6 linked regions of the Oryctolagus cuniculus genome follow. The protein of the gene in region 5 purifies or fractionates together with the protein of the main gene of each other region. This does not show direct contact. Links are inferred from orthologs where the notes say so. Each region holds a gene or a part of one and is shown on either strand. Other genes may lie near its edges. The genes, in order: GNL2, CHD4, DGCR8, NPM1, USP36 and DHX33.

Region 1 (3,500 bases), on a different chromosome or scaffold from region 5:
CCTGTAAACCTACACATGAAGAGGCGCGATGCACTAATACCTATTTTAGGTAGGCAAAATAAGTTATAGTACTTTTGCTGTGTTGCTACAGAAATCACATTCTCATACACACGGGCGTGAATGTGCGCAAGATAAAAGCATGTCCGACTTGACACTACTGTGCCAACAAACTCAGAATTCCACTTTACAGGAAGTAACAGACACTGTACTAACACCAAAAATGTAAGGATTTCTAGGAGCAAAGCAGAAAACTCAATGACCCCGAGAACCTGTCTGCATCAAAACGGCAGCTGCGGCAGCTGCAGGTACCGTTCCAAGGGCAGCAACTTAAGCACTGAATCTTAGATGCCCCGAACAACTGGAACAGGCAACAAAGCAATGAGTCCATAATAGAACTTCTCTGTTCTTCCCATAAACAGGATTCAAGAGTTGGTTACAAGATGGCTTTAGGGAGAATAGACAAAGAGAACAAGGGAAATGAGCAACTTGTCTGTGGTTCATGAATTACACTCATGTGCTTCCCTGAAAGAAAACAGTCATTTCACTAATAGGTGCCATTCTTCTAGTCCGTCATAAAACAAAACATAATTGACAAAACCTGAGGCAGCAACCAGGCCTTGGTTTAGATTTTGTTCCGCAAGTAAACACTTTTCTTTGAACTGTTTAATCCTTGTACGCACGTCACCAGTCTCCTTCCCTCCTTATGCTGGAACTGAAGCGTACGCACTGGCTACACTTCTGGGAATTATTATTCAGCGCAAGTAAAGATGTGCAGGCAGACGCCAGGCCATCCCTTCGTCCTGTGTGAAACTCAGGCCACTCCGGCCAGACCTAGTCCTGACCGTAATGCAGGCTGCAGTGGCAGCCACCAATCTGGACAGCACCTTCTTTTCAGTGGAAAAGTCCCCAAGGGTCCCACAGAAGCTGGAAGGGACCCTCACCACCTCAATCCTAATCCTACAGTCCCTCGAAGCTTGATGGAATTACTACTTAAGCAGCTGTGCCTACCAAGATAAATAAATGATCAAAAATCGTAACAATGCTGTTGATTCAGCTCTCATTAGGTGGTGTGCTGTGTGCTCACTAGGGGCTGAGTGCTCTCCACACGTTGCATCTGCACGCAGTCGTCCACGGTGCTGATGCATCTTTATGTCACAGGCGGGGACGTGTAAACTCCCAGAGAATCCTCACTAAGGGGCAGAGCAAGAACTACACTTCAGGGGCTGGTGCTGTGGCACAGTGGGTTAAAGTCCTGGCCTGCAGCACCAGCATCCCATAAGGGCGCTGGTTCAAGTCCCAGCTGCTCCTTTTCTGATCCAGCTCTCTGCTATGGCCTGGGAAAGCAGCAGAAGATGGCCCAAATACTTGGGCCCCTGTATCCACATGGGAGACCCAGAAGAAGCTCCTGGTTCCTGGCTTCAGATCAGCACAGCTCTGGCCACTGTGGCCATCTTGGGAGTGAACCAGCAGACGGGAGACCTCTCTCCATCTCTACCTCTTTAACTCTTTCAAAGAAATAAAAATCTTAAAAACAACAACAACAACAACAAAACACACTACACTTCAGGCCTCACTCCCAAGCCTGTGCTGTGAGCCACCACGCTACTGCACCTCCCTGACAAAACTCGACCCAGACTACAGGTGAGACCCCTATCAAAGGTGAACAAGGAAGTCTCAGGACATTCACCACTGCTGTATTAAGGCCAGAGACAAACATGTTGGAAAGGTATCTGTGTGGAGTCCACCCAAGAAGTTCCATGGCCAGGGATCTCCCACAGCTTACATGAGGCTGGATTCGATCGTGCAGAAGAGACATCGGCAACTTGCTCTGCTTCATGACGACTTTGTATGGATCCTTCATGACAGCCTCCATTTCCTCTTGAAACTTTTGCAATGACGACTGCTTAATCACACGTGTGTTTCCTGTTTTCAAACAAAGAGTGTCGCCATGTAATAAACAATTCTGTGTGGCTTCTGCCACCTCCCCACTGGCACAGGGAAAGGCAAGACTTAAATTGCCCTCCACCACCCAAGCACCAGACACACCCACTCCTGTGGCCCTTTCAAACTCAGAGGGGTGGGGGGGGAACCACCACAAAACCGCTTCTGCACTCGCACACTATGATCTAATCCACCCAACTCAGACACACAGAGGATTTCGTGGTTTTCCAAGCCCGATTTCCTGACTGGATGAAACTGAAAATCAAACATCAACAAAGGGAACTGCCTTTGAGATCTGTCCTACTCCCTGTTCCATCCGGCCATGGGATCCAGAGCACTCCCGGCTGATCGGTCTCTGGTCAGGCGCACAGAGGCGCGGTTACAAAGGCTGGGGAGGAGGGTGCTATCAACATATAAATCTCCGCAAGGGAACACATCGGAGCCACACAACCACACGACAGGACCCGGCGAACACCTTGCAAGAGACCGGGCCTCAGAAAGTGTTCAGTTAAACAGCGCATTACAGCACGAGTGCAAAACCTCCAGGCAGTGATGGCAAGAGCAGTCAGCGCCTACACTGCACTCCCTACTCGTGGGGACCCCTCCAAGCACCCCACGTCTTTTCTCTTTAATCACCACCACACTGCTGTGGGACAGGCATGACTTCTACTCCCACTGCAGAGAAGAGCAAACAGATGAACGGGCAGACGCTGTAACTAGTCCACAGTCACCTGCATGGCAGAACCAGAATTCAAACTCAGGCAGCCTGGATCTACACAGTCGCGTGCCCAGTCACCTGGTCCTCTCAGGTATTTTCCTGTTGCGGTTCTTAGGCGCTATCCTATCAAGAGGTGTGCCCAAGCACAGAGATCAAACACCAGGCAAGCAGTGGGGTCTGACAGTCTGCATCAGCTTGGGCCCGTCCTTAGCCCCCCCCAGCTATTGGTGGCTAAGAGCAAGTCCAGACTGAGATGAAGGCAGAGATCCCAAAGGAAGAAACCCCGTTCCTCCTGAGACTCCAGACACCCCATCCATTCCCGGAAGGACCAACCAAAAATGAGGCTCTTTCATTGTCATGCAGGTTCAGATGGTTTCATTACGACAAAGTATTGCAGAGGAACTTGAGGCTAGTGTGCTTTGTGATCTAAAAGCACAACCCCACTGGCAAGGCCAGTCTCAAGCAGTAATCACTCCAGAAATGCAGAGTTCAAGGTCTGCGAAGGCTAGTCTTTAAGGCTGGTGGGCTGGCATGGCAGGGTCTGCTGACATTTAACAACAGAGAGCTCTCTTCAAAAGCAAAGTTAGGGGGCCAACACTGTGGCGCAGGCTGATCCTCCGCCTGCAGCGCCAGCAATCCCATATGGGCGCCGGTTCTAGTCCTGGTTGCTCCTCTTCCGATCCAGCTCGCTGCTATGGCCTAGGAAAGCAGTAGAAGATGGCCCAAATACTTGGGCCCCTGCACCCACGTGGGAGACCCAGAAGAAGCTCCTGGCTCCTGGCTTCAGATCAGTGCAGCTCCGGCCATTGTGGCCATCTGGGGAGCGAACCAGCAGATGGAA
Region 2 (2,835 bases), on a different chromosome or scaffold from region 5:
GTTTTTTTTTTTTTTTTTTTGACAGAGTGGACAGTGAGAGAGAGAGAAAGGTCTTCCTTTGCCGTTGGTTCACCCTCCAATGGCCGCCGCGGCCAGTGCGCTGCGGCCGGCGCACCGCGCTGATCCGATGGCAGGAGCCAGGTACTTATCCTGGTCTCCCATGGGGTGCAGGGCCCAAGCACTTGGGCCATCCTCCACTGCACTCCCGGGCCACAGCAGAGAGCTGGCCTGGAAGAGGGGCAACCGGGACAGAATCAGGCGCCCCGACCGGCAGTCTGAAGCCCGAAGTGGACTTCGGCGCAGCCACAGCGCCACCAGGCGGCGGTGCCGGGGACTGCGCGTCCGGAGGCACCCCGGGACGGTGCTGGGGGCTCCGGTCTCTTCTGGGAGGGGATGGGGGGATGGCTCGAAGCAGCCCTTAAATATCCGATGAGTTTCAGGGGGGCTCCTGCCTTTCACCTTCACCCAGCTGCGCCTACACCCACACTGAACCAGAGGACTAAAATACAAGGAAACTTTTATTTTCAATTTTGATCAAGAAATTTGTTGCGGTTTTTTATGCTTTTGGTTCTTTTTCCTTTTTTTTTTTTTCCACTTTATTTCACTCTAGCCGCACAGTGGCTGGAGCCGCTGGGTTCCTGGTATTAAAAAGATGCCAACAGAGGTAGCTGTGTCTCACCCAGGGGCCCGGCCCACTCTTGAATACCCCAAAAAGGAGAAAACACAAAATAAACCAGCAAAATAAAACCAAAAGGAGGAAGAAATTCAGATCATTTTCTTCAAGCCCGGCAGGAACCCACAACAGTTTGTGTGTAACAGACGTTACAGTGGGGGAAGCCAGGGTCCAGAAGGCCAGCCCGCCAGCTCCCTGCAGATGGCGCCGGCGCTACTGCTGCTGCTGCCCGAATCTCCAGCAGGAAGGGCACCACTGCCCCGCACTCCCTCCCCTCCCCAGTGCACGGGGGCTGTTCCTTTACAACATGGAAGATGGGCAGGAGGAAGGCGAGGGTCTCTCGGGCCCCCGGGGGAGAAGCCGGGACAAGAGGAAGTGAGGAAGGTCACTGCTCAGCGGTGGAGGTGGTGTCAGGCTGGCTCTTCATTGCTGCTGGGCTACCTGGAGGAGACAAGACAGGGGGTCAGAACTTCACAGGCCACAGGGACCCAGCCTGACAGCAAAGTTACAGCTTCAGAACGGGTCTGTGGGAAGCGCTGGCGTGGAGAACCAATGATCCCACCTGCTGTGGCGGAGGCTCCGGTGCCCGGTTGGCCAGGCGGCTGAGAATGTTACGCTCTGACATCTGTAACCTCACAGCCACAGGAGGAATCCGGGCAATGGTCGCTGGGAGTCGAGTCACATCGGCTTTCATGTCACTGAGCAGCTCTTCCAGCTGTTTGAGAACTGCAGAGGGAAAACGGGTTGAGCTGTGCTGGGCAAGAAAGATGCTCTGGGGCCGGTGCTATGATGGGGCAGGTCAAGTCGCCACCCACGACGCTGGCATCCCACATGGGCACCGGTTCAAGTCCCTGCTGCCCCACTTCCGATCCAGCTCCCTGCTAATGCGCCTGGGAAAGCAGCAGAGGCCAGCCCAGCATGGGAGACCTGGATGAATCTCTTGGGTCCTGGCTTCAGCCTTGGCTTTTGCAGCCATTTGGGAGATGGAAGATCTCTGTCTCTCCCTCTAAACTCTGCATTTCAAATAAATAATTTTTTAAAAAAAATGACCTCCCTGGCCGGTGCCACAGCTCACTAGGCTAATCCTCTGCCTGCGGTGCCGGCACACCGGGTTCTAGTGCCGGTTGGGGAGCCGGTTCTGTCCCAGTTGCTCCTCTTCCAGGCCAGCTCTCTGCTGTGGCCCAGGAAGGCAGTGGAGGATGGCCCGAGTGCTTAGGCCCTGCACCTGCATGGGTCCAGGAGAAGCACCTGGCTCCTGGCTTCAGATCAGCACAGTGCTGGCTGCAGAGGCCATTTGGGGGGTGAACCAAGGAAAGGAAGACCTTTCTCTGTCCTTCTAACTCTGCCTGTCAAAAAAAAAAAAAAAAAAAAAAAATCTCCCTTAGTGGACTAGCCCTCACACCCCCTGCTCGCGACTGTCTGCACTTCCTCCACTCGAGAGGAGTTTATTCCTGCTGTTTGCCTTCTGGATCTGTCCCCCACTTCCTTTATGACAGCTGCCTTTTCCTCACTTCACCCTCCACCTCCTCATGCTGTTTTACTTTAAATAGAAGCGAAGTTGGAAAGGGTCTAGAATCTGCAGCGATCTGAAGATGACATCCTAAGGTTCCCAAGTGACACTGGGTGTCTCTGTGCCACTCTGCACCTCAAGAACCTGAATGCACTAAGAGGCCAGCAGTGGCCGTCCTTGACTGCCTCTCAGACCTCAGCTTCCCAAGGAGGATGGCAAAGATCCTCGGTACGACCTGTGCTCCCAAAGGGCTCTGAAAAAGGCTTCCACACGCTCTGGGTCAAGGCTGAATGAGCAGGAGGCAGGGGAGCCACTGGCTACCTTTGTGCAGGACTGCATTGGCTGGCTTGTTTCCTGCCATGGACTCCTTGGACAAGTGCTGATGACTTTCCGCTAAACACTCCACTTCCGCAAAGCGAGTGTTCAGGGCCATGGAAGGGTGAGAAGGGTCCTCTGACATGTTCAGGTAGGCAGCTCGGCGTAGCTGTTCCTCAATCACCAAGGCTTGTTCCAAGAGCTGGACAGGGGATAAAGAGACAGAGTTGGAATGACACTTACTTTGCTCATTGTTAATGGACCCCCCAGCTCACCGCTTCCTGCAGGTAATGAGAACTTAGGAAGAACGTCATGGCTGGCTCCCCAACACCACTCC
Region 3 (4,034 bases), on a different chromosome or scaffold from region 5:
TTAAGATTTATTTCCACTTATTTGAAAGGCACAGTTCCAGAGAAGGAGAGACCTTCCATCTGCTGGTTCAATCCCCAAATGGCTGGAAGCTTATTCCGGGTCTCCCACATGGGTGCAGGCTGAGCACTTGGGGCATCTTCTGCTACTTTCCCAGGCACATTAGCAGGGAGCTGGATCCGAAGTGGAACAGCCAAGACTCGAACCGGCGCCCATGTGGGATGCTGGCATCGCAGGTGGCCATGCTCAATGCCAGCCCCCATGCTTTGCTTCTAATCCAGCTTCCTGCTCATTCACCTGGGAAGGCAGAGGAGTGATGGTTCTCGCTAGGGGCCCTGCCCTCCATGTGGGAGACCAGGATGGAGTTCCTGGCTCCTGGCTTCAGCCTGGCCCAGACGTGTGGCTGTTGGATGGAGCCCAGTGGCTGTAAGATTTCTCTTTCAAATACCTACCTACATTTTTTTTTAAGTTGTGATCCAGGGGTAGGCATTTGGCACAGCCCGTGAGCTGTTGCTTCAGACACCTGCATCTCACGTTGCAGTGGGGTCCTGGCTCCACTTCCTGCCCACGCGCACCCTGGGAGGCAGCAGCTGCTAACTCTAGTACTTCGGTCCCTGACACCCACGTGGGAGACTCCGACTGACTCCCGGTTTCCCGGTCCCAGCTGTAGCAGGCATCTGGGAGTGAACCAGCATCTAGAAGGGCTTTCATCTCTACGGGTCTCTATCCCCGTCTTTGCTTTCAGATACTGTTTCTCCCATGGCCTGCCCCCGCTGCAGCACCTGTCACCGAGGGAGACGTTCCGTTCCCGGCGCTCCCTCTGCATTCATGGGACGCGGCGCTACCTTGGCCGCTAGGCTCTCCCTTTCTGTCGCGGGCTCCCGTGCACTGTCCACTCCAGCAGTGCTTGGAGGCTGCTCCCGGCGTGCCCCGCGCTTCCCGCGCTCCCCTGCTCCCGGCATGCCCCGCGCCCCCCGTTCCCAGCGCCCCTCGCGGCCGCCGCCCTCGGAGAAGGCGAACGCCCCTCCACCCACCCCCCACGCTGGGGGCGACCGTTAGCGCGGCCTGGACCTCGCGCCTGGGCCCGCCTACGTGGCCTCGCTATTGGCCGCGCGCCGCCGTCGCGCGCGCCGCGCTCCGCCGATTGGCGGCCTCCGCGGCCCGCTTCCCGCGTCTCTCCCAATGTACGGCGGCGGCGCGCGGGGATTGGCCGCGCGCCGCAAAGGCCCGCCCTCAGCTCGCCCGGCGCGGCAGGCGGGTCCCGCCGACCGGAGAGGCTAGGCGGCCTTTCCAGATGATGGCGGCGGCGGGGGCGGCGGCGGTGATGGCGGCTGCAGCAGCCGCCGGGCGGTGAGGCTCTCCCCGCTGCGGTCGGGCTGCGGGCGGCTCGGGCAGGCCGCGGGCGGCGCAGGTAGGTGCGGGGCGCGAGGGGCGCCCCGCGGGCGGGCGGGCGGGCGGGCGCTGCGGCCTGCGCACCCTTCCCTCCGTCCCTCCTGGCCGAGGCCGCGGGCCCGGGCTGCGGACGGGGCGCGGGCTCGGGGCGGGCCGGGCCACGCGGAGTCCCAGCCTTTGTCAGGCAATATGGCCGCGGGCAGCGGAGGGCGCGGGGGCGCGGGCCCGCCGGGGGCCCGGGCCGGGGCCGGGGGTCGATCCCGGGCCCGGGGGGTCCCTGGTGCTCGTCGCTACCCGCCCAGTTATGGAGACCCTTATCCGGGTGGCCCGAAGGCGCAGTGTCGCCTCCAGGCGCGGAAGGGGCGGACAGGGACGGCGCTGGCGTGGACGCTGCCCGGCATGGATAGAGTTGGGGAACCCCGAGAAGTCGCCGAGTCTTTTCTCTCCACCAAACGCTCACGGATTGAGCGCCCTGCCAGCCATCGGGATGTGGTTTTATTTGTTAACCGTGAGCGTGGTAGAGAGAAACGGGAAGGCGGCAACCTGTTGACAGCCATACCTGTCAAGTGCCCTCGGGTGGACTTGGGTTGCTCGTGGTAGGAACCGGATTTGCCGTTTCGCATGCTTGCATGTCCCTGGTTTGCGGGTGCACGGCGGCCAGTGCCCACCCTCGTTCAGCCGCTCGCCACCCCGCCCCGTTAAACCCGGCGGCCGCAGAGGGAGTGAGGACAGGACGCGAGGCCCGGTTGGAGGATGACAAAAGGACTGGATGAGGTCATTGCCGCTGGGATGGGCGGGAGACTGCAGCGAAGGGTGCTGTCCAGGGGCGCTGTGCGTCCGCGCCTGGCTCCCGGTCCAGTTGGCAGGGCCGGGCTTGCGGCTGGCCGTGTGCTCCGTGGGCTGCAGGGCCTGCGGGCCTCCCTTTGAGCCCTCTGTGGCCAGCCGCTGCAGGGGAGCACCGTCCAGGGCGTCTGATGGAGGCCGCCTGGTGACCTTGGAGTTGGGGCATGGGAGCCCCCTCGCCTGGGCTCTCCCCCAGCCTCCTGGCTTGAATGCAGTTTCCTCTGTGTCTTTCAAGATCCTGGCTCTGGCCTCCCTTCGGAGCCCCGGCCTCTTGCACATCCCCATGTGTTGTTACTTTTGATTCCAAAGTGGCCATGCCCGCCCCTGTCCAGACCACCCGCACCTCTGTTGCTCTTACTCCTGCGTCCCCAGGAAGCCTTGAGCTCACCTTGCCTCTCCGGTATTCCGCCTCTCTGCAGCTTAAGGTCCTGGCCGAGCTGCCTGGTGAGCCTCCGCCTCCTCTTTGCTGGAACCCTCAGCCCCACCCCCTCACCTGTAGGTTTGGTTTGGTTTTGTTTTGTTTTGGACACAAAGTGATCTTTTTAGCTGTGTGGTGGTGGAAGGCTACTTCAGAAAGGTTGTAGACAATGGAATGAAGAGAGTTGATTTTGACCCCCCCCCCCCCCATTTTTTTTTTTTTGAATAAATGCATAGGTGAGGTTTTCAGAAAGTTCATGGGAAGTATGTATTATGAGACTGTGCACGGTTGGAAAAAGTTGTTCACTGAAATAGACATCTGTGGGAAAAGTGTATTTGAGGAGGGGGAAAGAGAAACCTCATGTGCTGGTTTACTCCCCCAAATACCTGTGATGGCCGCGAGGGCCAGTCCTGAGCCAGGACCCAGGCCACAGCCAGGAGCTCTGTCCAGGCCTGCGCCATGGGTGCTAGGAACCCAACCGCTTGAGCTGTCAGGCTGCCTCCCAGGTGCTATGCTAGGCCCAGTGTTCCCCTCTTTTTCTTTTTACACATTTTGAGAAGCAGAGAGAGAGAGACAGCGCCCAAGGCTGGGTCGGGCCGAGGCTGGGAGCCAGGGACTCAGTCCCGTCTCCCCTGTGAGTGGCAGGAGCCTGGAATCAGGAGCGGAGTGACCCAGGTGCTCCTTCGGCAGGGGTAGGTTGGTTCTTAACCATTCTTTGAAACACCTGCCACAAGCCGAATCTTTGTGCTTTTCCGCAAACTTTTTGAAGTACCTTTGTGAAAATCCCAGGTGGTCTAGACCGAGGCCAGCTGGCCACTGGGGCGAAGCAGCTCCTCCCTGTGCTCCTGTGTGGCCTTGAGCGAGGCTCAGTGCTGTGAGAGCTGACAGAGCGGGTGTGCGAAGACCTGAGAGCGCGCGGAGGGGCCTTGGGCCGCGTGACGTCGCTGCTCGCACCAGTGACCCACCTCAGGATAAGGGCCTAGTGGTGGCCATCTGTGCTTGCCTTCGCTGGCCTGACCCTCTGCGCCTGCCCTGGACACACTGCTGGAGCTAGCCCCGCCACACTCTTTCTCTTGATGTTCCCTGGAATGTCCCGCCTCCTGCCCCTCTGCCTTCGCTGGCTACCTGTCTGCGCTGCCTCCCCTTCCCCAGCCCTGTTCTTTGCTTTGTTTGAGCTTGGACATTTCACGGTTACTCGTGCTCAAAATGTGAGCCCCGTGGGTTGGGGGCTTGTCTTGTGTCTACAGTGTTCCAGAGTGCCTGTGTGCGCCACGTGGAAGGTGTTGGAGCAAACTCTTGTTGATGGGGAGAGAAAGCTCTCCGGGGGATGTACGGCCCTTGCCCAAGCTCGGGCTGGCCGCCCGCCCGCCCTCCCGAGCACCCC
Region 4 (3,500 bases), on a different chromosome or scaffold from region 5:
GGAGAGACCCAGAAGCTCCTGGCTCCTGGTTTTGGATCAGCCCAACTCCAACCATTGTGGCCATCTGGGAAGTGAACCAGTGGTTGGAAGCTCTCTGTGCTCTGTTTAACTCTTTCAAATAAATCTTAAAAAATAAAAAAAATAAAAAAAAAAAAAAACCCTAAAGACACAAAAAATTCACAGTAGACTTAAATCTAATGACAATATTCAACAGAATCCCTACAACAATGCTGACTTCCTTGGAAAAATCTGTCCTAAAACCACATAGGGTTCTCACTTGGTGATTCAAACAGTAATCTAAGACCTATATGAATGCTGAAGCTACTAGTATATTTTCACGACCTCAGATTTGGCAACGGTGTTTTAGGTTTAACAAAAGCAAAGCAAAAAATTCTGTACTTCATGAAAACGAATTTTTATGCAAAGGCTACCACCAAGTTACTGAAGATGGCAGAAAATGGCAGAAAGTATTTGCAAATCACCTAAGGTACTTGCTTCCAGAATATAAAGAACTCTAGCAATTTTTGAATGAGCAAGGGATCTGACCAACATTTTTCTCCAAAGATATACATATGGTATATGTCCATCACCAGTCACCATGGAAATGCAAATCAAAACCACAATGATACTATACACCAGTGGGGTAGGTATGTATACAACCCACCACTGGCAGGAATCATTCAGGCACTTAGAGGAACTGCCAGGCTTTTTTTTCCCGAAGAGTTAAACCTCCAGTCACCATTTACCCGAAACATCTAGAATAGGCAAATCTACAAATATAAAGACCAAGTTCATTCGTTGAGGAACATGAGGAGTCACAGCTAAGGGAAATGATTTTTTCAGTTACACCATTTTAAAATGATTTGTGCAGCTAGTGACGTGGTGTCGCATCTACTCCACTTCAGATACAGCTTCCTGATAACGGCCCAAGAAAAGGTTCAAGGAGCTGGTGATGTGCCGCAGTGGGTTAAACCAGCTGCAGTGCCAGCACCCCGTATGGACTCCAGTTCAAGACCCAACTGTTCCACTTCACATCCATCTCCTCTGTGGCCTGGAAAAGCAGAAGATGGCCCAAGTCTTTGGGCCTCTGTGCCTTCACGGGAGATCCAGAAGAAGTTCCTGGTTCCAGCTGTTGCGGCCACTTAGGTAGTGAACAGATGGAAGATTCTCTGCCTCTCTAACTCTGCCTTTCAAATAAAAAGTTTTAAAAATAAATCGGTTTAAGACATAAAAGAATCTGTCTTTAAAAAAAAACTTCAAAAGGCCAAGTTTTAGACACTTCCCACTCACTGATACTCCTGGCTCTTGGCTAGGCTCCACCCTGACTGCTGTAGCCACTTGGGGGCAAATCAGTGGATGTTAAGATCTGTTTCTCCCTCTCTCCTTAACTCTTTCAAATAAATGTAAAAACAGAAAATTGTTTTTAGGTGATGGCTGCACAGGGTGTTGATTCCAGGATCCAAGTATTCCACAATCCAGGGATATTTAAACCACTTATAAGAGTGTCCGCATACATATACACATACATATACTCCAAATCACCTCTAAGTTACTTCTTACACCTAACAAAAATGATGAAAGATTAAAAATCAAGTCTGTATTCAGTACAGAAGACACTGTCCAACAATACTAGTATAGAATCCAGATATAAATTTCAACTAAGCTGTGCCATACCCTTTCCATCCTCAAAAGAGGATCTCCCTTTCACCTTGTTCTTTGTTCAAAGTCTACTGCCAATTGGCTATTTCATCTTTTCACATCTTAACCATCATCCATGCCATGCTCTTAACCCTCAGCCCCCTTGAGGCAACCATGACGTCCCTTAGCACACACATGCTTTTGACTACCCTCTCCTCTATTCGAAAATGTGCTGATTTGGACCACCCATACTTTACTTTCTCCCTAAGCATTATCTACTTACTATATACACAAAGGGACAATTCCGACACTGTGGTTACATTTTAAAAAGTAAATCTACTGGGGCTGGCACTGTAGCACAGCAGGCTAAGTCTCCATCTGTGGTGCCAGCATCCCATAAGTGTGCCAGTTTATGTCCCAGCTGCTCCCCTTCTAATTCACTCTCTGCTTATGGTCTGGGAAAGCAGTGGAAGATCGCCCAATTGCTTAGGCTCCCAAACCCACATGGGAGGTCGAAGAAACTCCTGGGCTCATTGCTTTGGTTCAGCCCATTTGGGGAGTAAGCCAATAGATGGAAGGATTCTGTCTCTACTTTCCCATTCCTACCAATGCTGCATGCTCTACTCTTAGGAAAAGCCACAATGCACAGCAGCATTTTAAAGGCTCAGTCCCAACATTTTTTTGCTGACAACCACTGACCACATGAATCCCTTTAATTATGAACTATTGCACAGAATAACTCTGGTAAATCATTTCCATAAAATTACCACCCATGCACATAAAAGCATGCTACTCACTCTTCATCATCATCATCGTCGTCGTCGTCATCTTCATCATCTTCTTCAGCAGCAAGCTTTACTTTTTTCTAAAAAGGAAAATATACTTATGAGCAAATGCTGATTGTTACCACCTAACAAAGGCTGTAATGCAAATCTGCAGTGAAATGACATCTCTACCTGTGGCACCTTGCTGCCACCTCCAGGGGCAGATCGTTTTCCAGATATACTTAATAGCTTCACATCCTCTTCCTCCTCGTCTTCTGATTCTGCATCTTCCTCCACAGCTAAAATAAAATTATCAGACATTTATTTTAAAACTCAAACAAGAATCATTCAGGAAAAATAAAGATTAATACTATAGAATGCTGAACACTTAAAAATCCAACAAAAGGACAGCAAATGGCAACAGAATTTTTTAAAGGATTTTGTTGTTAAACATGCCCTTACTATCATTAATTTAAGGTTCTCACTGGAACTCACTATAAACAGTAATAGTATAACCAAGCCTGGTTTAAGTACAAACCAGAAGCCAAGCAACTGCAGTATATGATATATATATATATACAATGCAGTATATGAAAAGAACATACCTACTAAGTGCTGTCCGCTAATATGCACAGGCCCTGAACCACACTTCAACCTTAAGACCACAGGTGGTGTTATTTCAAAGCCCCCAAGGGAAACCTAAAATGGAGATTTAAGAACAGCATTACAGGCAAATCCACACACCAAAATAAACCAGTGAGTCTGTTTCCCCCTCTATTTAACAGCAGAAACCTTTTTAACAGCTGACCATTCAACTCTAGTGACAGAAACATGTAGCTATGACTAATGGGGTAAAGAAGCACCAAATAAAATTCCACTTTCTAGGGCCAGCACTGTGGCAAAGTGGATGAAGCCGCTGCCTGTATTGCCAGCATCCTGTATGGGCAACTGCTCCACTTCTGACCCAGATTTCTGCTATGGCCTGGGAAAGCAGGGGACACCTGGAGGAAGCTCCTGGCTTCAATCAGCCCACCTCCAGCCACTGCGATCACTTGGGGAGTGAACCAGCATTGGAAGACCTCTCTTTGCCTCTCTGTA
Region 5 (3,942 bases):
CTGGAGCCCTGAGCCGGGAGGGGGCGTGTGCCCCCAGGGTCCCGGGCCCGGGGTCCCCCGAGGGTCCCCGGCTGCACTTTCTGGCGACTGCTGCCTTGGGGTGAACTCTGAGGACACGGGTTCAAACCTCGCGCCCAGCGGGTTGAGCTGTCGCCCTGTAGCACGAGGACGAGGACAGGGACAGTCCGTGGGCTGCGGAGACTGTGCCGCGGTGACCGGCTGGGTCCCAGTGACCGGCTGGGTCCCGGGGACCAGCAGTGACAACTACAGGAATCAGAGGCGCCGCGGGGCGCCCCCCAGGTGCGGGAGGCCTGGGTAAGTGCCCCAGCACCCCAGTCTTGAGGGCAGAATTGGCGGACCCAGCTGCGCCCACCGTCCACGCACCCCCCCACCCCGCAGGCCCGGTCTGAGTGGAGCGGAGCCGGGAGCCGCGCGTGGACGGGGTACAGGCTTCGCCTCGCACGGCTTGTTTGCGTTTGCATTTTTTAAAAATTTATTTGAAAAGGAGAGTGACAGAGAGAGAGGGAGGGAGATCGTGAATCCGCCGGTTCACTCCCCAAATGGCCCCAACGGCCAGGACTGCGCCGGGCCGCAGCCGCGAGCTTCCTCTGGGCCTCCCGCGTGGGTGCAGGGGCCTCCGCCGCTTCCCAGGCCGTCAGCAGGGTGCTGGCCCGCAGGTGCGGCAGCCGGGACTCGAACAGGCGCCCAGAGGATGCGGCGTGCCAAGCAGCCGGCCCCGTGTGCCCTGGGGTCCCAGAGTGGCGGCGGTCAGCCGGAGACCACCCTCGCCACCCCTGCCCACGCCGCGCCCACCGCGAGGACAGAGCCCCAGACGCGCCCAGAGCCCCGCGGGGCCGCCCCGTCTCCCCTTCCGGGGCGGGGCTCGCTCCTCTGCGCACCCGAGCGCGCGCAGCCCGCCCGGCGCCCCGCCCACCCGCCCGCCGACCCGGAAGCGCGGCGCCCGCAGGAGCTCGCGCGACTCGGCCTGGGGGCGGGGCGGCTTCGGCTCTGCGCGCTTGCGTCACGGCGTAGGCGGGCGGGGACGCGGCGTGGGGAGGTGACGTAGGCGGCGCGTAGGGCCGCAGTGGGCGGGTCCGGGGCGGGAGGGTCCGGGCTAGGTCCGCCTCCTAAAGGCTCCCGGGCCTTCCGGCGGGAGCACCGCGTGGCGGCTGCGCGCGGCGCCTTTAAGCGCCGCCGTGACACGTGTGTGAGGCGCCGGAGGCCCGGATGGTGCTGTGAGGAGCCGCGAGCCTGAGGCCAGCGCCGCGCGGCCTGAGGCGGCCCGGCCGAGAGTCCTGGGTAGGCTGGGGCTGCATCGGGACGCGGGAGGTGCGTGGGCACGGGGGCGCGCTCGGGGACGGCGCGGGTGCGCGGCGCAGAGGGGACCGGGGGCCCGGCGGCGCTGTCAGCGGGGGTCTCGGAGGGCCCGAGGACGGCTCCAGCGCCGGGGCCCGCAGCTCGCTGGCGGGAGACTGGACAGGCCGAGCGGGCCCGCGCCGGGACGCGGGGCGCAGGGTGGCCCGCGCCGCAGGTGCGGGGTCGGGGAGCGCGCCTGGGGGCGCGGGGCCGGGCGGGAGCGGCGTCGGCAGCGGGGGGCGCCCGCACGCCCGCGGCCCGCGTCGGGGAGAGGCTCCCCGGCTCCCCGGCCCCGGCTCTGCCCGCAGCTCGCGGTTGAGCCCCGGGAGCAGGTGGCCCTGGAGCGGCGACTGTGGAGGCAGGAGGTGGGGGCTGTGTAGGCCGAGCTGGCCCGGGGGCTTGCGGGGGGCGGCTCCCGGGCCGCGGCGGTGTCATTTTAAGGTGACTGCTCGGAGTGAGGCTGACGTCACGACTCGGAAAGTTGTGTGTGTCCAGTCTGACCTAAGCGGCGGGGCTCGGGGCTCCCGCGCCTTAGCCAGCCCCTGCGCCCCGGTGGTCGGCTCGGGAGGCTTTGCCAGGCGGGCCGCCTTTGCGGGCCCTGTCGCACCTCGGGGTCGGGCGGAGTAATGGGCGAGAAGCTTGCTGTGCACGACCCCGGGACGGGAGGACCCAGACTGGCCGGAGGGGGCCCCGAACCCCTGGTGCCCGCCGCGCTCCCAGCGCCCACTTCCGCTGTGTGTACTTCAGTTAAAAAACGCATGCTTGCTTTATTCGAAAGGCAGAATGACAGATGCGGGGCGGAGTGCTGTGCCCTGGCTGCGAGGACGGGGCGGGGCTGCCCGGGACTCCACGTGGGCGGCTGCTCCCCCAGGCGCCCCAGCAGGGAGCTGGAGCGGAGCGGCTTCACCTGCTGCCCTGTGACGTCAGCCCCGAAGGACTTCCGGTCTGGGCGGTCACCGTGATGGTTTTAGCTGTGGATCCGCGCAGCGAGTGAACCCATGAGCTTGGAGACTTCAGCTGAATGCCCCTGAGCCCCGGGAAGTGCGTCAGGCCGCAGGGGACGTCGCTGGGCGGGGGTTTTCGGCCCCTGACTTTCTCGGTTTTCGGGGTGAGGACACGGAGCGGCTGGCCGTGGTTCGCGTGTCTGCAGGGGCAGTGAGTGCACCTGTAACTTTGACTCTTCCTGGTCGCGCTCACAGCCTGGGCCCGCGCCTGTCGCCGTGTGTGACGGTCTTGCTGGGCTCCCCACAGGCGCCGACACCTGTGCTGAGTCCAGGAGTGCCGGTTCTGAGGGCCCAGGACAGCACCTGGCCGGTCAGACCCGCTCCATGGTGCAGGCCGAAGCTGCAGGTCTGTGCGTAGACACCCAGGTGAGCTGGCACGGTTCCGCCCTGGTTACAGTGTGTGCCGTTATCCCCGAGGCCCGGCCGGTGCATAGACACTCAGGTGGGCCGGCACGGTTCCGCCCTGGTTACAGTCTATGCCGTTACCCCCGAGACCCGGCCGGTGCATAGACACCCAGGTGGGCTGGCACGGTTCTGCCCTGGTTACAGTGCGTGCCGTTACCCCCGAGACCCGGCTGGTGTGTAGACACTCAGGTGAGCTGGCACGGTTCCTCCCTGGTTACAGTGCACGCTGTTACCCCTGAGACCTGGCCGGTGTGTAGACACCCAGGTGGGCCGGCACGGTTCCAGCCTGGTTATAGTGCGTGCCGTTACCCCCGAGACCCGGCTGGTACATAGACACCCAGGTGGGCCGGCACGGTTCTGCCCTGGTTACAGTGCGTGCCGTTACCCCCGAGACCCGGCTGGTGTGTAGACACTCAGGTGAGCTGGCACGGTTCCTCCCTGGTTACAGTGCACGCTGTTACCCCTGAGACCCGGCCGGTGTGTAGACACCCAGGTGGGCCGGCACGGTTCCGCCCTGGTTACAGTCCAGCCCGTTACCCCCGAGACCCGGCAGGGACCCTTTGGTTGGTGAGCAGCCTCAAGTCCTTTCCCTTCGGAAAGACTTTCACGCTGGTTTTCTTGCGAGTGAGTGTTGGAGCAGGTGTTTAGGCTGGAGGTTAAGGTGCCCGTGCCCTGCACCACAATACCTGGGTTTGAACTCCAGCTCTGGCTCCTGACGCCAGCTTCCTGCCAGCGCAGGCCTCTGGAGGAAGCAGTGGTGGCCCGGCTGACTGGGCTGTCCCACAGAGGGGCGACCTGGGTCGAGTCCTGTCTCCTGACTCACCCTAGCCCAGCCTGGTCTCTCTCGCTCTCGTTTTTTCTTTTCAAGATTTATCTATTTATTAGAAAGGCAGAGTTACAGAGAAAGGGAGAAAGAGATCTTCCATTCTCCTGGTTCACTCCAAAAATGGCTGCAAGGGTCAGGGCTGGGCCGGGAGCCTGGAACTATCCAGTGCCCCAGGTGGGCCATCTCCCACTGCCTTCCCAGGCACATTAGCAGGAAGCGAAATTGGAAGCCGAGCAGCCAGGATCGCCAGCGCGACTTCATCCCCAGTGCCAGAAGGCTGGCCCGGGACATGCTTTTTTGATGTGGCTTAACTATTTGAAGCTTGGGCTCTGAGCTCCCAGCCGAGGGTGG
Region 6 (2,666 bases), about 48 Mb from region 5:
GCTCCTTCAGAGGGAAAACCACAGCTGGGTATGTGGGAGGCCCTGCGGTCAGTTTCCCATGCCTGTACTTGATATATTCACAAGATACAAATTGGCCTTTGCCTAGGAAATGTACACGTCCTCCAAAACCACTGATGGGGATCTGTGCCAGGGAGGCACGAGGGTCGGGGGACTCCTTTAGTGGCCCCTGCCTGGAGGCAGACACAGGGCAGCGCGCATCCTAAGACCGGAGGTTCCACACAGACGGCCACCCCAGTAGGTGACAGACAACAGCACCTCCTCCAGAACCGCCCACAGCACGCCATGTCTTAGGGCTGCTATTTCAGTCTCCCACAGACAGACCTTCAAATAGGACCAGGGACAGCATCCAGGCACGGCAACCCCCAATGGCAGCCTCCTTCCAGAAGGCCCGCTTTGGTCCCAAGAATGCAGGGGGTTTTGTTGTACTTCGCTTACACTGGGTAGTGAGCAGCAAGGTTAAGCATAATGGCTCACGACTCATCGGAAGTGTAGCCCATGCCGGGCATGGCTCTGGGTAATTTCCATCCATGTTCTCTACACTTCATGGCCCAATCCTGTGAGTGAGAATTCTTATAAGGGCTGGCACTGTGGCGTAGAAGGTTAAGCCTCCGCCTGAGGAGCCAGCATCCAATATGGGCATGGGTTCAAGTCCTAGCTGCTCCTCTTCTGATCCACCTCCCAGTTAATGGCCTGGGAAAGCAGCGGAAGATGGCCCAAGTGCTTGGGCTCCTGCACCCACATGGGAGACCGGGAAGAATCTCCTGGCTTTGGATTGGCCTAGCCCTCGTTATTGCAGCCATTTGGGGAATGAACCAGCAGATGGAAGACCTCTCTCTCTCTGTCTCTCCCTCTCTCTGCAATTCTGCCTCTCAAATAAATAAATAAATCTTTGGGGGAAAAAAAAAGTCTTATGACCCCCACTTGGCAGATGAGGAAACGAGCCCCCTGCAGTCACCGGCAGGAACCAAAAGCACAGTAAGTGCAGGTCCACATGCACACAGTCCAGGCTGAGCTTCCTGCTTCTGGAAGCCAGGCACGCTCAGCTGTGTGGAGACGCGCAGCTGCCCCAGGGGCCAACCGGAGAGCCTGCCGTGAGGGCAGCGGGCGTCCAAGGCCCGGGCAGGAGCAGCATGGACAGCACCCTGAGCGGCTCAGTTTCTGGCTGTCCTCAGCTTCCTCCTGAAGTACTCGGGGGCAGCCTCGTACAGCCACTCGGCGTCCACAACACAGAGGTCGCGCATGTAGCACTTGTTGGTGTGCAGCAGCTCTGTGTACACGACGCAGGCTGGCTTGCAGTGGAAGAGGACAGACGACGGGTGGATGGCCACCGGCTGGTGGGTGTCCGTGGTGGCGTAGGTGCCGTCGGGCTGAAGCTCGGCGGTGTTCATGAAGAGGCTGTGGGCCAGGCAGCGGCGGACGCTTTCCATGTCCCCTCGGGAGGACGCCATGGGCATCGACATCTGTTTCAGGACAAAGTGAGAGATGAAAAGGACCCCAGTGACCAACACCGCTCGGCACGACCTAGTGGGTGGCAGCAACAAGGCCCACGGCACAGCTCTGGTCTACCGTGTGCCCAACATAGACACCGACACGGAGGGGTGGTCTCCTCACGTGTCTTAGGGCTCAGCACGGGCGGACTGAAGACAGGAAAACCATGGCCGGGGGGGAACGAGGACTGAGAGGGAGACATTCCTCTGAGCGCCCAGCCCACAGGCAGGTTGGGGGCCCCAGCCCCTCGCCCAAGTCTTCACTGGGACGTGCCGGGGTTGGGGGAGCCTTTCCCCTTCGCTGATAGCACTGTGCAACAGCAGGTTAAACCGCCACCTGGGACCCCTGCATCCCATATGAGTGTGGGTTCAAGTACTGGCTGCTCCACTTCTGAACCAGCTCCATGTTAATGCACCTGAGAAAGCAGCAGAAGATGGTCCACGTCACCCATGTAGGAGACCGGGATGGAGTCCCAGGCCCCTGGCTTCGGCCTGGGCTAGCCACAGCCATTGCCATCTGGGGACTGAACCAGCAGATGGAAGATGGCTATCTTTCTTTCTCTCTCTTTCCCTCTTCCTCTTTCTCTAACACTGACTTTCAAATAAATAAATAAAACTTTAAAAATAAAAAAAAAGGAAGAAGTATACATAGTACAAGCTATAGAACATGTGTAATACATTGGGCTTTTTGGTGGTTTTTTTTGCTTTTTTATTTTAAAATTTTACAAATTTATTTTCACTTTATTTGAAAGGCAGAGCAACACAGAGACAGAGAGAGAGATCTTTCATCTGCTGGTTCACTCCCCAGATGCTTGCAACAGCTGGTTCTGGGTCATCTGGAAGTCAGGAACCAGGAACTCAATCCTGGTCTCCCGCACGGCTGGCAGGGACCCAGATACTTGAGCCGTCACCGCTGCTTCCCAGGGTGTGCGTGAGCAGGAAGCTGGATGAGGAGCAGAGGAGCTGGCACTCAGACCAGGCTCTCCCACGTGGGATGTGGGCCTCCCCAGCAGCACCTTAACCACTGCCCCAAATGCTTGCCCCCACATTTCTGTTAAAGGGAAATGTGATACATAAACCCATGTGTCTGTGTACACAGACAAGTTATCTCTACGGGGCAGGATCACGAGGCCTCTGCTGCAGCAGGAACCACCACGT

The links.
Region 1: the proteins of USP36 (region 5) and GNL2 purify together in Homo sapiens (affinity purification with mass spectrometry; 3 studies listed by BioGRID and IntAct, with this or other methods). This does not show direct contact. The link is inferred for Oryctolagus cuniculus from reciprocal best matches to the Homo sapiens genes USP36 and GNL2.
Region 2: the proteins of USP36 (region 5) and CHD4 purify together in Homo sapiens (affinity purification with mass spectrometry; 3 studies listed by BioGRID and IntAct, with this or other methods). This does not show direct contact. The link is inferred for Oryctolagus cuniculus from reciprocal best matches to the Homo sapiens genes USP36 and CHD4.
Region 3: the proteins of USP36 (region 5) and DGCR8 purify together in Homo sapiens (affinity purification with western blotting; 3 studies listed by BioGRID, with this or other methods). This does not show direct contact. The link is inferred for Oryctolagus cuniculus from reciprocal best matches to the Homo sapiens genes USP36 and DGCR8.
Region 4: the proteins of USP36 (region 5) and NPM1 purify together in Homo sapiens (affinity purification with mass spectrometry; 4 studies listed by BioGRID and IntAct, counting the BioPlex papers as one, with this or other methods). This does not show direct contact. The link is inferred for Oryctolagus cuniculus from reciprocal best matches to the Homo sapiens genes USP36 and NPM1.
Region 6: the proteins of USP36 (region 5) and DHX33 purify together in Homo sapiens (affinity purification with mass spectrometry; 5 studies listed by BioGRID and IntAct, counting the BioPlex papers as one, with this or other methods). This does not show direct contact. The link is inferred for Oryctolagus cuniculus from reciprocal best matches to the Homo sapiens genes USP36 and DHX33.

The regions. Positions count from the first base shown.
Region 1 is NC_091438.1:135,186,090-135,189,589, reverse strand, and holds part of GNL2 (nucleolar GTP-binding protein 2), read right to left. Parts: intron 1,924-3,500; coding exon 1,784-1,923; intron 1-1,783. UniProt on the Homo sapiens protein: GTPase that associates with pre-60S ribosomal subunits in the nucleolus and is required for their nuclear export and maturation.
Region 2 is NC_091440.1:102,932,729-102,935,563, reverse strand, and holds the end of CHD4 (chromodomain-helicase-DNA-binding protein 4), read right to left. Parts: intron 2,701-2,835; coding exon 2,505-2,700; coding exon of another isoform or gene 2,502-2,504; intron 1,400-2,501; coding exon 1,236-1,399; intron 1,115-1,235; coding exon 1,097-1,114; 3' UTR 501-1,096; downstream 1-500. UniProt on the Homo sapiens protein: ATP-dependent chromatin-remodeling factor that binds and distorts nucleosomal DNA. Acts as a component of the histone deacetylase NuRD complex which participates in the remodeling of chromatin.
Region 3 is NC_091452.1:27,750,262-27,754,295, forward strand, and holds the start of DGCR8 (microprocessor complex subunit DGCR8), read left to right. Parts: upstream 1-1,234; 5' UTR 1,235-1,408; intron 1,409-1,608; exon of another isoform or gene 1,609-4,034.
Region 4 is NC_091437.1:58,117,998-58,121,497, reverse strand, and holds part of NPM1 (nucleophosmin), read right to left. Parts: intron 3,102-3,500; coding exon 3,008-3,101; intron 2,702-3,007; coding exon 2,595-2,701; intron 2,504-2,594; coding exon 2,436-2,503; intron 1-2,435. UniProt on the Homo sapiens protein: Involved in diverse cellular processes such as ribosome biogenesis, centrosome duplication, protein chaperoning, histone assembly, cell proliferation, and regulation of tumor suppressors p53/TP53 and ARF.
Region 5 is NC_091448.1:2,834,945-2,838,886, forward strand, and holds the start of USP36 (ubiquitin carboxyl-terminal hydrolase 36), read left to right. Parts: upstream 1-1,142; 5' UTR 1,143-1,299; exon of another isoform or gene 1,300-1,329; intron 1,330-3,942. UniProt on the Homo sapiens protein: Deubiquitinase essential for the regulation of nucleolar structure and function. Required for cell and organism viability.
Region 6 is NC_091448.1:50,891,981-50,894,646, reverse strand, and holds part of DHX33 (ATP-dependent RNA helicase DHX33), read right to left. Parts: intron 1,482-2,666; coding exon 1,173-1,481; 3' UTR 1-1,172. UniProt on the Homo sapiens protein: Implicated in nucleolar organization, ribosome biogenesis, protein synthesis and cytoplasmic dsRNA sensing. Stimulates RNA polymerase I transcription of the 47S precursor rRNA.